2 linked regions of the Drosophila melanogaster genome follow. The gene in region 2 interacts genetically with the main gene of each other region. Each region holds a gene or a part of one and is shown on either strand. Other genes may lie near its edges.

The links. Genes that interact genetically often act in the same process or in processes that back each other up.
Region 1: of l(1)sc (region 2) and Hr3, changing one enhances a phenotype caused by changing the other (phenotypic enhancement), as found in Drosophila melanogaster (one study listed by BioGRID).

The regions. Positions count from the first base shown.
Region 1 is NT_033778.4:10,231,556-10,236,215, forward strand, and holds the start of Hr3 (hormone receptor 3), read right to left. Parts: upstream 3,053-4,660; 5' UTR 2,658-3,052; coding exon of another isoform or gene 2,319-2,657; 5' UTR 1,757-2,318; coding exon of another isoform or gene 1,226-1,756; coding exon 469-1,225; intron 1-468. Other genes in the region: CG12912 (uncharacterized protein), read right to left, coding at 2,319-2,657. UniProt on the Drosophila melanogaster protein: Putative receptor whose ligand is not yet known.
Region 2 is NC_004354.4:408,013-411,345, forward strand, and holds l(1)sc (lethal of scute), read left to right. Parts: upstream 1-1,708; 5' UTR 1,709-1,783; coding exon 1,784-2,557; 3' UTR 2,558-2,805; downstream 2,806-3,333. UniProt on the Drosophila melanogaster protein: AS-C proteins are involved in the determination of the neuronal precursors in the peripheral nervous system and the central nervous system.

The DNA of each region.
Region 1 (4,660 bases), on a different chromosome or scaffold from region 2:
GTGTCAGCCTGTTAATTGCCGCTGCCTGGGATGCTTGCGCAATGGGCGAGCGTTCATTTGCATAGCTCGGATTCTGGCGTGGAATGGGGAAGGGGGAAGGGGGAGGGGATCTGGGGGATATGGGTGCGATTATCTGAACCATCGCTGATCGTTGGTGGTCGCTCTGGGCGAGTGCTCACTGTGCTGTGGTTAGCCGGCGGTTGTTCGCAACAAGTGGAATTCTTGCCGAGTTTTCTGGGGTGCGAACTCATCACTCGCGGGAATCCTTGACTTAAGGTCTTTCAAATATTTGCTACAATCACTCACAATGGCTTAGTAAAATTCTTTAACGTTTGTTAAGAGCAAGAGTGACGAAGAACATTGCTTTTGCATATGAAGATATATTATTGGTAGATATATTATCGTCTCGAACAGTATATATATTCCCAAATTGACTAAAATATAATTGAGAGTTGCACTGGAACATACCTGTCATGGCTCCATTACTGCCGCTGCTGCTGCTGCTGTGCTCTCTGCTGTTTTCTCTGGCCGATGTTGCTGTTGCACTTGCTGTTGCTGCTGATGTTGCTGCGGCTGCAGATGTTGCTGATGTTGCTGTTGTTGTGGCAGCGGGCTTGTGAGTCGTGAGCGGTGGCATTGGTGGAGGAGTTCGCTCCTTTGTGCGTTTTAGGGAGCCCTCCTGGCTGGTATTGCTGGCCATGTTCTTGCACACGGAACTGATATTGCTGATGCTGCTAAAGCTGCTGAGACTGCTGAAGCTGCTGGAGCGTGCCAATGCCGGTGGATCCGATAGGAATTTCACCTGCTGCTGCTGCTGTTGCTGCTGCTGTTGTGGCCGCGACTGTGCTGGCCTGGTGGTCGCCAATCTCTTGGGCGCCGGAGGCTCTGGTTCAGTCTCATCCTCGGGCTCGCCCTCCGCCTTTAGCTCAGCCTCGAGCTCGTTTTCCAAGTCCGGCTGCACGGTGGCTATGATGGTGCCGTCCTCGTTGGCCTGCTCGAAGCAGACGTCCAGCAAGGTGGCTCCGCCACCGGCCTGTAGGCCGGCAATATCCTTGAGATCTATCCAACTGGCGCCCAGCTTATCAGCATCGCTGAGGGGCAAGCTCAGTACTCTCGTGTCGCCCTCGTCCACGATGTGGAAGGATTGCGTGGGCTCGATCTTGACGATGATGGGCTGGTTGGCCAGGATTTGGGCGGGTGGCGCACTGCCCAGCAAACTGGCCATGTTCTCCTCCTCCTCGTCGGCGGCCTCCAGTTCGCTGAGCTGCTGCTCGATCTGCAGGTAGGTATTACTGCTGGAGTTGGCTGCCACACCCGACTGCTGCTTCAGTACGTCCAGTTTGAGGACCGTGCACTTGTCGGTCTGCTGGTACTGGTGCTGCTGCTGGGGTCGTGGCAGCAGTGTCAGGGCGGGAGCACCCGATGTTCCAGAACCTTCCGTTATAAAGGCCAATGGTGGAGACGTGCCCGTGGATTTGGTGGACACACTCCGCGACGACTGGATCAGCTGGGGCAGTGCTGGCGGTGCTCCTCCACTGCCGCCAGTGCCAGAGGCACCGCTACCACTGCGTGCCACAATGGTGGTCGAGACGGGCAGCGGGATTATTGAGATGGAGGGCACCTTGCTGCGCAGATTGGCCACCGCCGCTGCTGTGGCGGCATCGGTGCCGATATACGTTGGACCACCGCTGGAGGATTTGCTGCCGCCGGCGGGCTTGGCCTGCTGTATCAGCAGGAGATCTCTGGGCCTATCCGTTGTGGCGGCCGTTTACTCACAAAGGCTCTCAAATGTCCGGATTTCGCCTTCGCTTAAAACACTAAACACTCACACTTTCACTTGGTTCATTGCTTGAATTTCTTGGGTTCTTTTATGCTTGTATTTGTTACTTGTTATATTTGGTTTTTTTTTTGGGTGTAGAAGCACAACATCGAAATAAATTGAAAATCAGCCTTACGAAAGTGCACTTAAAAAATTGTCGACTAAACAAGTTCATTCATACTGCATTGCCTCGATTGCTTGTCAATTGGTGTAGATACCCCAGAGGGGGTGGCCTAATGAGGGGCTGAGGGTTCGAAAAGGGGGGGGAGTGGGCTTTTAGGGGCGTAGTGGGGTCTGCAGATGCACCTGTGCGTTTCGTTTCGTTCGGTTCGTTTTTGGTTCGTTTTGCAGCTGGAAATACGCGTCGTATACTTAACGTAACTTTGTGCGATGCATAGAGTTCGACATTCCGATTAATGCTTTCCACTTGTGTTGGTTTTTGAGTAAATTTTGGGCTAGTCTTTTCGGTTTTGGGTTGTGTTTAACTTTACTTTACTGCCTAATATGCAGCAATTGTTGCTGTGCTTCGGTGACTGAGCCTGCTTCTGTATCTGTGTCCTCCGCGTTTGCCTGTGGTCGTTGTCATCCTCGTTTTCGTATCCTGCTGCTGCTGCTGTTGTTGCTGCTGTTGCTGTTGCTGCTGCTGCTGCTGCTGATGTTGCTGCTGCTGTTGCTGTTGCTGCTGCACATGCAACGCGTCGCCGCTGGATGGCTGCAAGGCTGCGCTGCAGCATTCGGTAGTGTCAGCGCCATTGGAACCCGACCACGTCAAAACAGTTGGAAGTGTGCCTCTGGATCTGGATGTGGATGTGCCAATGTTGCTGTTGATTTCCCACATCGCGGCACGCAACCCTATGCAACCACCACCCCAAGCACCACCTCCATCCTCACGGCAACAACAACCACCAGCTGTGTGGAAAGTGGCTTTAATAATCGATTTTTCAGCGGCACACTTGCGAATCAATATTTGGCAAACAGGAGCAGCGCTGCAGCTTTCCCTTTTCCTAATCGGATTTCTATCCCTTTAGCTTCGATATTAATTAAGCACTGTGTTCAATTTTGTTTCACTTTTGGCTGGTTTGTGGATTTCACTGTTTCAATATTTGTATTTTCACTTTCAGAGATTTGTGGCTAAATGCACCGCGCGCGTTTTTTTGTGACTCCTTTTTGTCGATTTTGCGAAGCAGCTGACCGGAGCTGCGTCCTTTACAGGAATGTGTCCCAAATTCGAGTGCCACAAACACAGTTCGTTCTGCCGCTGCACAAACTTTCCGTTTCGTGGGGGTTGCGCCTCAGTTTCTGGGAAAAGGAAAATCCGAGTGTGTGTGTGCGTGTGTATCCGCATGCAAGTTGAAAAATGGGACTCGCTGCGAACTGCTGCGAAAATAGGGTTAGTAGGCATAATGCCAAGTGCATAGCCAGGAAAAACTGGAAGCCACAACACGAAGGAAAACGAGCACAGTCGAACGAACGTTTGTTGCGCAGCTTTTCCACCCCTAAAACTCTCAGTGGGGGCGGGGGCGGGCTAAGGGCCAGGAAAATTCCCGTCGTGGTGATAAAGCGTCATGGGAAATTTCTGCACGCTCGAGGTGGAAATTCCAAGGGCGGAAAATTTTGAATGAGTCTTCTGGGCTTGACTTTCGACATTTACTCAACTAACAACTGAAACTGCCATTTATAATATTTGTAAAAATTCATAAAATTAGTTAATAAAAAATCAACTATGATATATATTTTTATATATACATGTTTAAAAAGAAACATATTTGGTAAACAAATATTTTCTTTTGTTATGCATTTAAATAGTGCATAAGATATGTAATTCATGGTTAACCCCTCGTTTATAAACCAAATTTGTAGAACACGGATAAACTATAGATGCAGTAGTAAGTCATTATATATACGAAGTCTTGTCTACTACAAGCTGTGTAAAGATAATATACATGTATTTATAATTATATAGTATGTATATAAAAAGCTTTAAAGTGTCATAAATAGTATGAACATTGGCACATATATATTTTTAAATGAGTCATAAAATGCGCATTTTTAGTGCTCTCAAAACTACAAGAATGCACTAAAATGTTAAGCTCGCTAATTAAAGCTGCCAATGCCAATTTGGGCAAAAACCAATCAAAGAACAGCTATGACCACAATGACCCTCGAGTCAAGAATGCCCAAAAAAAGGGGCGAACCGAGAACATCTCGGCCATTGGCCAACAGACGGGGCAAATTTGAACTAATCGCCCAACTGGGCCCCAGCCCAACCGATCGGATCGAGCCATCATTAGGGCGGGGAGGGGAGTGGGGGAATTGGGTGGCATAGGGCCAAACTTCTTATAGAGGAGGGTCGATGATGGCGAACGGAGCGACCACCGTTAGGACGGATTCGGATTCTGATTCGGAGCCAAGACTCAAGCATCGGCATTAATATTTCATGTTTTTCCGTTGCTTAAATCATGTTAGATTTATTCTGCGCCGCATTCAGCTGCCGCTTGCGCAACAACAATCAAGAGCTAACTGGTAACTGGTAACTGGTTGGTGGTTCTGCCAACCAGCTTACTAGCAGCTTGCAGCTAAACTTGGCTAAAACACCGTTGGTTCTAACGTGAACGCGAAATGTGTGCCTCACCGTTGTAAACTTCTTGCGGCGGCTGTTGCCTCATCATCTATTGCAAGTCTGTGCCGATTCTAACCTGTTTTCTCTGCAGAAACTCTCCGAAAAAGTCCCGTAAGAAAGTCCCAGTTATTCAAGAGGAAAAACCTGTTACACGCAACTGGCTCAGAGAGCTGATTGCCAAGAAAATGGAGACGGAGAAAAGCAAAGAACAGAACAGAATC
Region 2 (3,333 bases):
TTAGAAAACGAATTCGGTAGCAACTTTTAAAAACCAATTATTAGGTAAATGGTGTTTTTTTTTTTTTTTTTTTTTTGCTTTATTATGATTTTCAGCGTTCATTCTTGTGGGATCAATTTCCTCTAATTTTCTGATCTCCTTTAGGGCAGCTGCTTATGGCTTTTTTTAAGATTTTATGCATTTATGGGAGCAATCTCGTAACTCGACTTATCCGTCTTCGGTAACGGTATTGCCTTCCCATTGCAACAAAGTTGCAAGTTGCGAATCCAGAAATTTGTTTCAGATTCAGCTCCTTACAGATTTATGAATGCTTAATTTAATTGCAGGGGGATTGTTGGTAAACGGAATAACTTTACTTTCTTGGACTGGGCATAATAAGTCACAACCCTACAGCAAGCAGCAAATAAATAAAGACATAACATTTTTTAAAGCTTTTTGAAATACTAATTTGCTAGTCAAATAACATTTAAAGACCTTTTTTAATGCTTTTCGACATACTAATTTGATAATTTAGAACTAAACCTGATTATGAGTGATGTCTTGATATTAAAGCAACACAAATGCTTCATGCTTTAAAATCAAAACTGCCATTCGATTTTTAGAAGTATTCCACGAAATAATTATCTTTAAAAGAAAATATTTATTCAATAATGCAACACTATCAAAATATTTTCCCAAAAAAATATTTTAAATTGCATCGTAGCCTTAATACGATTTAATGAGTTATGCAAATTAATTGAATTCAGTTTTTGTTTGTTCATACAAGACATATATTAACCAGTCAGAAATATTACATTTTTTGTCGAGTGCACAGCCCAAATTTAGATCGCTTTCTTGTATCACAAGCGTTTGATGAAAGGGTAAGAGTGTTTCGACTGCAACTTTGATCCCAACTGCTGTCAATATTCAATGCCTTTGTGATGGTTTCGTTTTTATTTGTCTGGCCGTCCCCTTACTTATTATAGTACGCTTGGTATTCATGATACAGCACACACTTGTGGGATTTTGTCTGCGCCGCTCTGCGATGTTATGTATCATTGTTTTGAAGCTTATGCTAATGCACCGGACTGATCGGAAGCACGTGTCAAATGCAGATGGGTCAGAAAAAATATTAATGAAGGTTCATAACATTACAGGATATAAAAGTGGATACGCAGTTTTAAAGACAGTGAAAGTCCCACGACATGGTCTTTTAAGTTTGTTTCTTTTGCCTTCGCATCATTTTCTTTCATTTGATGGATCACATTTTATATCAAATTCCCTTCCAAGATCTCACTCTCCTTTATTTTTCGCTTTCAATGCAAACGACATTCGACAAAAGTGGAAGTGCATTCAAAATCTTTTTTTTTAGCCATGACAAGGATCTTGCAGATCTGAGATTTAAAATTTTCCCAAAAGGAAAAAATGCATTATGTAGACGGACACAAAGGACAAAGAGTGTGTGGGAGAGGGAAAAGGATGGGTAGGTAGGCACACAGAGACTGAGTAGGAATAGAGGCACCCACCACAGAAAAAGAACCCCTAGAAAGAGAGGAAAAATGTACGATCACTTGTGCAAAGGACTTAGGTCCCGGTTTTTCGAGGGCAGGTAGCCAGGATCCGACCCCGTACCAACCCCTGTAGCTCCTCTGCCGAAGTCGCTGCCTCTGTCGCGGCGCGTTTCCCTCTGCCACTGCCGGGTATTTAAAGCCCTAGATCAGAACAGCAATTATCATTGCGGAATCTGATTCCACACAGTCAACATCTGTAAACTAAATCTTAGAAAACTCTCGCAAGGATTACCATGACGAGCATTTGCAGCAGCAAATTCCAGCAGCAGCATTACCAGCTGACCAACAGTAACATTTTCTTGCTGCAACATCAGCATCACCATCAAACGCAGCAGCACCAGTTGATTGCTCCGAAAATACCTTTGGGTACCAGCCAACTGCAGAATATGCAGCAGAGTCAACAGTCCAATGTTGGACCCATGTTGTCCTCCCAGAAGAAGAAGTTCAACTACAATAACATGCCCTATGGCGAGCAATTGCCATCGGTAGCCAGACGAAATGCCCGTGAACGCAATCGCGTGAAGCAGGTGAACAATGGATTCGTCAATCTCCGCCAGCATTTGCCTCAAACTGTGGTAAACTCGCTGTCCAATGGAGGACGTGGTAGCAGCAAGAAGTTATCCAAGGTGGACACACTGCGAATCGCCGTTGAATATATTCGAGGACTACAGGACATGCTTGATGATGGCACTGCTTCATCAACTCGTCACATCTACAATTCCGCCGATGAAAGTAGCAACGATGGCAGCAGCTATAACGATTACAACGATAGTTTGGACAGTTCGCAACAGTTCTTGACGGGAGCCACCCAGTCTGCCCAATCCCACTCGTACCACTCCGCCTCGCCCACGCCGTCGTACTCCGGATCCGAGATTTCCGGAGGTGGCTATATCAAACAGGAACTACAAGAGCAGGACCTCAAATTCGACTCCTTTGATAGCTTCAGTGACGAGCAGCCAGATGACGAGGAGCTACTCGATTATATTTCATCTTGGCAAGAGCAGTGAAGGGGTCTTACTAAAAGTCCCAAACAAACAAATATTGTACAAACTGTAAATACCCTAAATTGTTGCCTTAGTGAGTGTAAAACCAAGTCTCAAATTTCACATTAGCCTCTAAGTTACCCCATATTTTTTTTTATTATATTTTAACGCAATGGAAGACATATTTTTTTCATAGTTATAAGTTTGTTATAAGCATGGAAGACACTAAACTAACTACTTTTAAGCCAAAATAAAAACATATTGATAAATTTAATTCCAAATGTTTTTTACTGAAATCACTTACTCGTAAATATATTCAGATCGTCATGTAGGGTAATTACAACGAGTTCTCGTTCTCATACCAGCATCAGAGCCAAAAAGGTTTTTAAACAATCTGCATTTTGAAGCATTGCTTTGACTATATATATGTTATGATATTCGTTTTTAATTTATGTATTTTTATATTATTATTATTATTTTTTAGCTTAGCTGTTTTGGCCTCAGGCTTAATAATGGTACTAGCGATAGAAATAATAATTTCACAAAAAAGTTACCCAATTTATTATTTATATTCAATTACTTTTGGAGCGTGGACATGACTCACTCAAAATTCGTAACCAACATAGAGTTAAGCACCTGACAGGAAACAACAGCGAATATTTTCATGATTGGTTCCCTAACGAGCTACAATTCGGCCGGGAATTGTTAATGGCGCGTAAATAGCCCGGAAATAGGCAGTCACGCCTGAGAGGATGAAATTGTCCTAGTCCAAGGATCAGTACTTGAAGACTCGCACAATC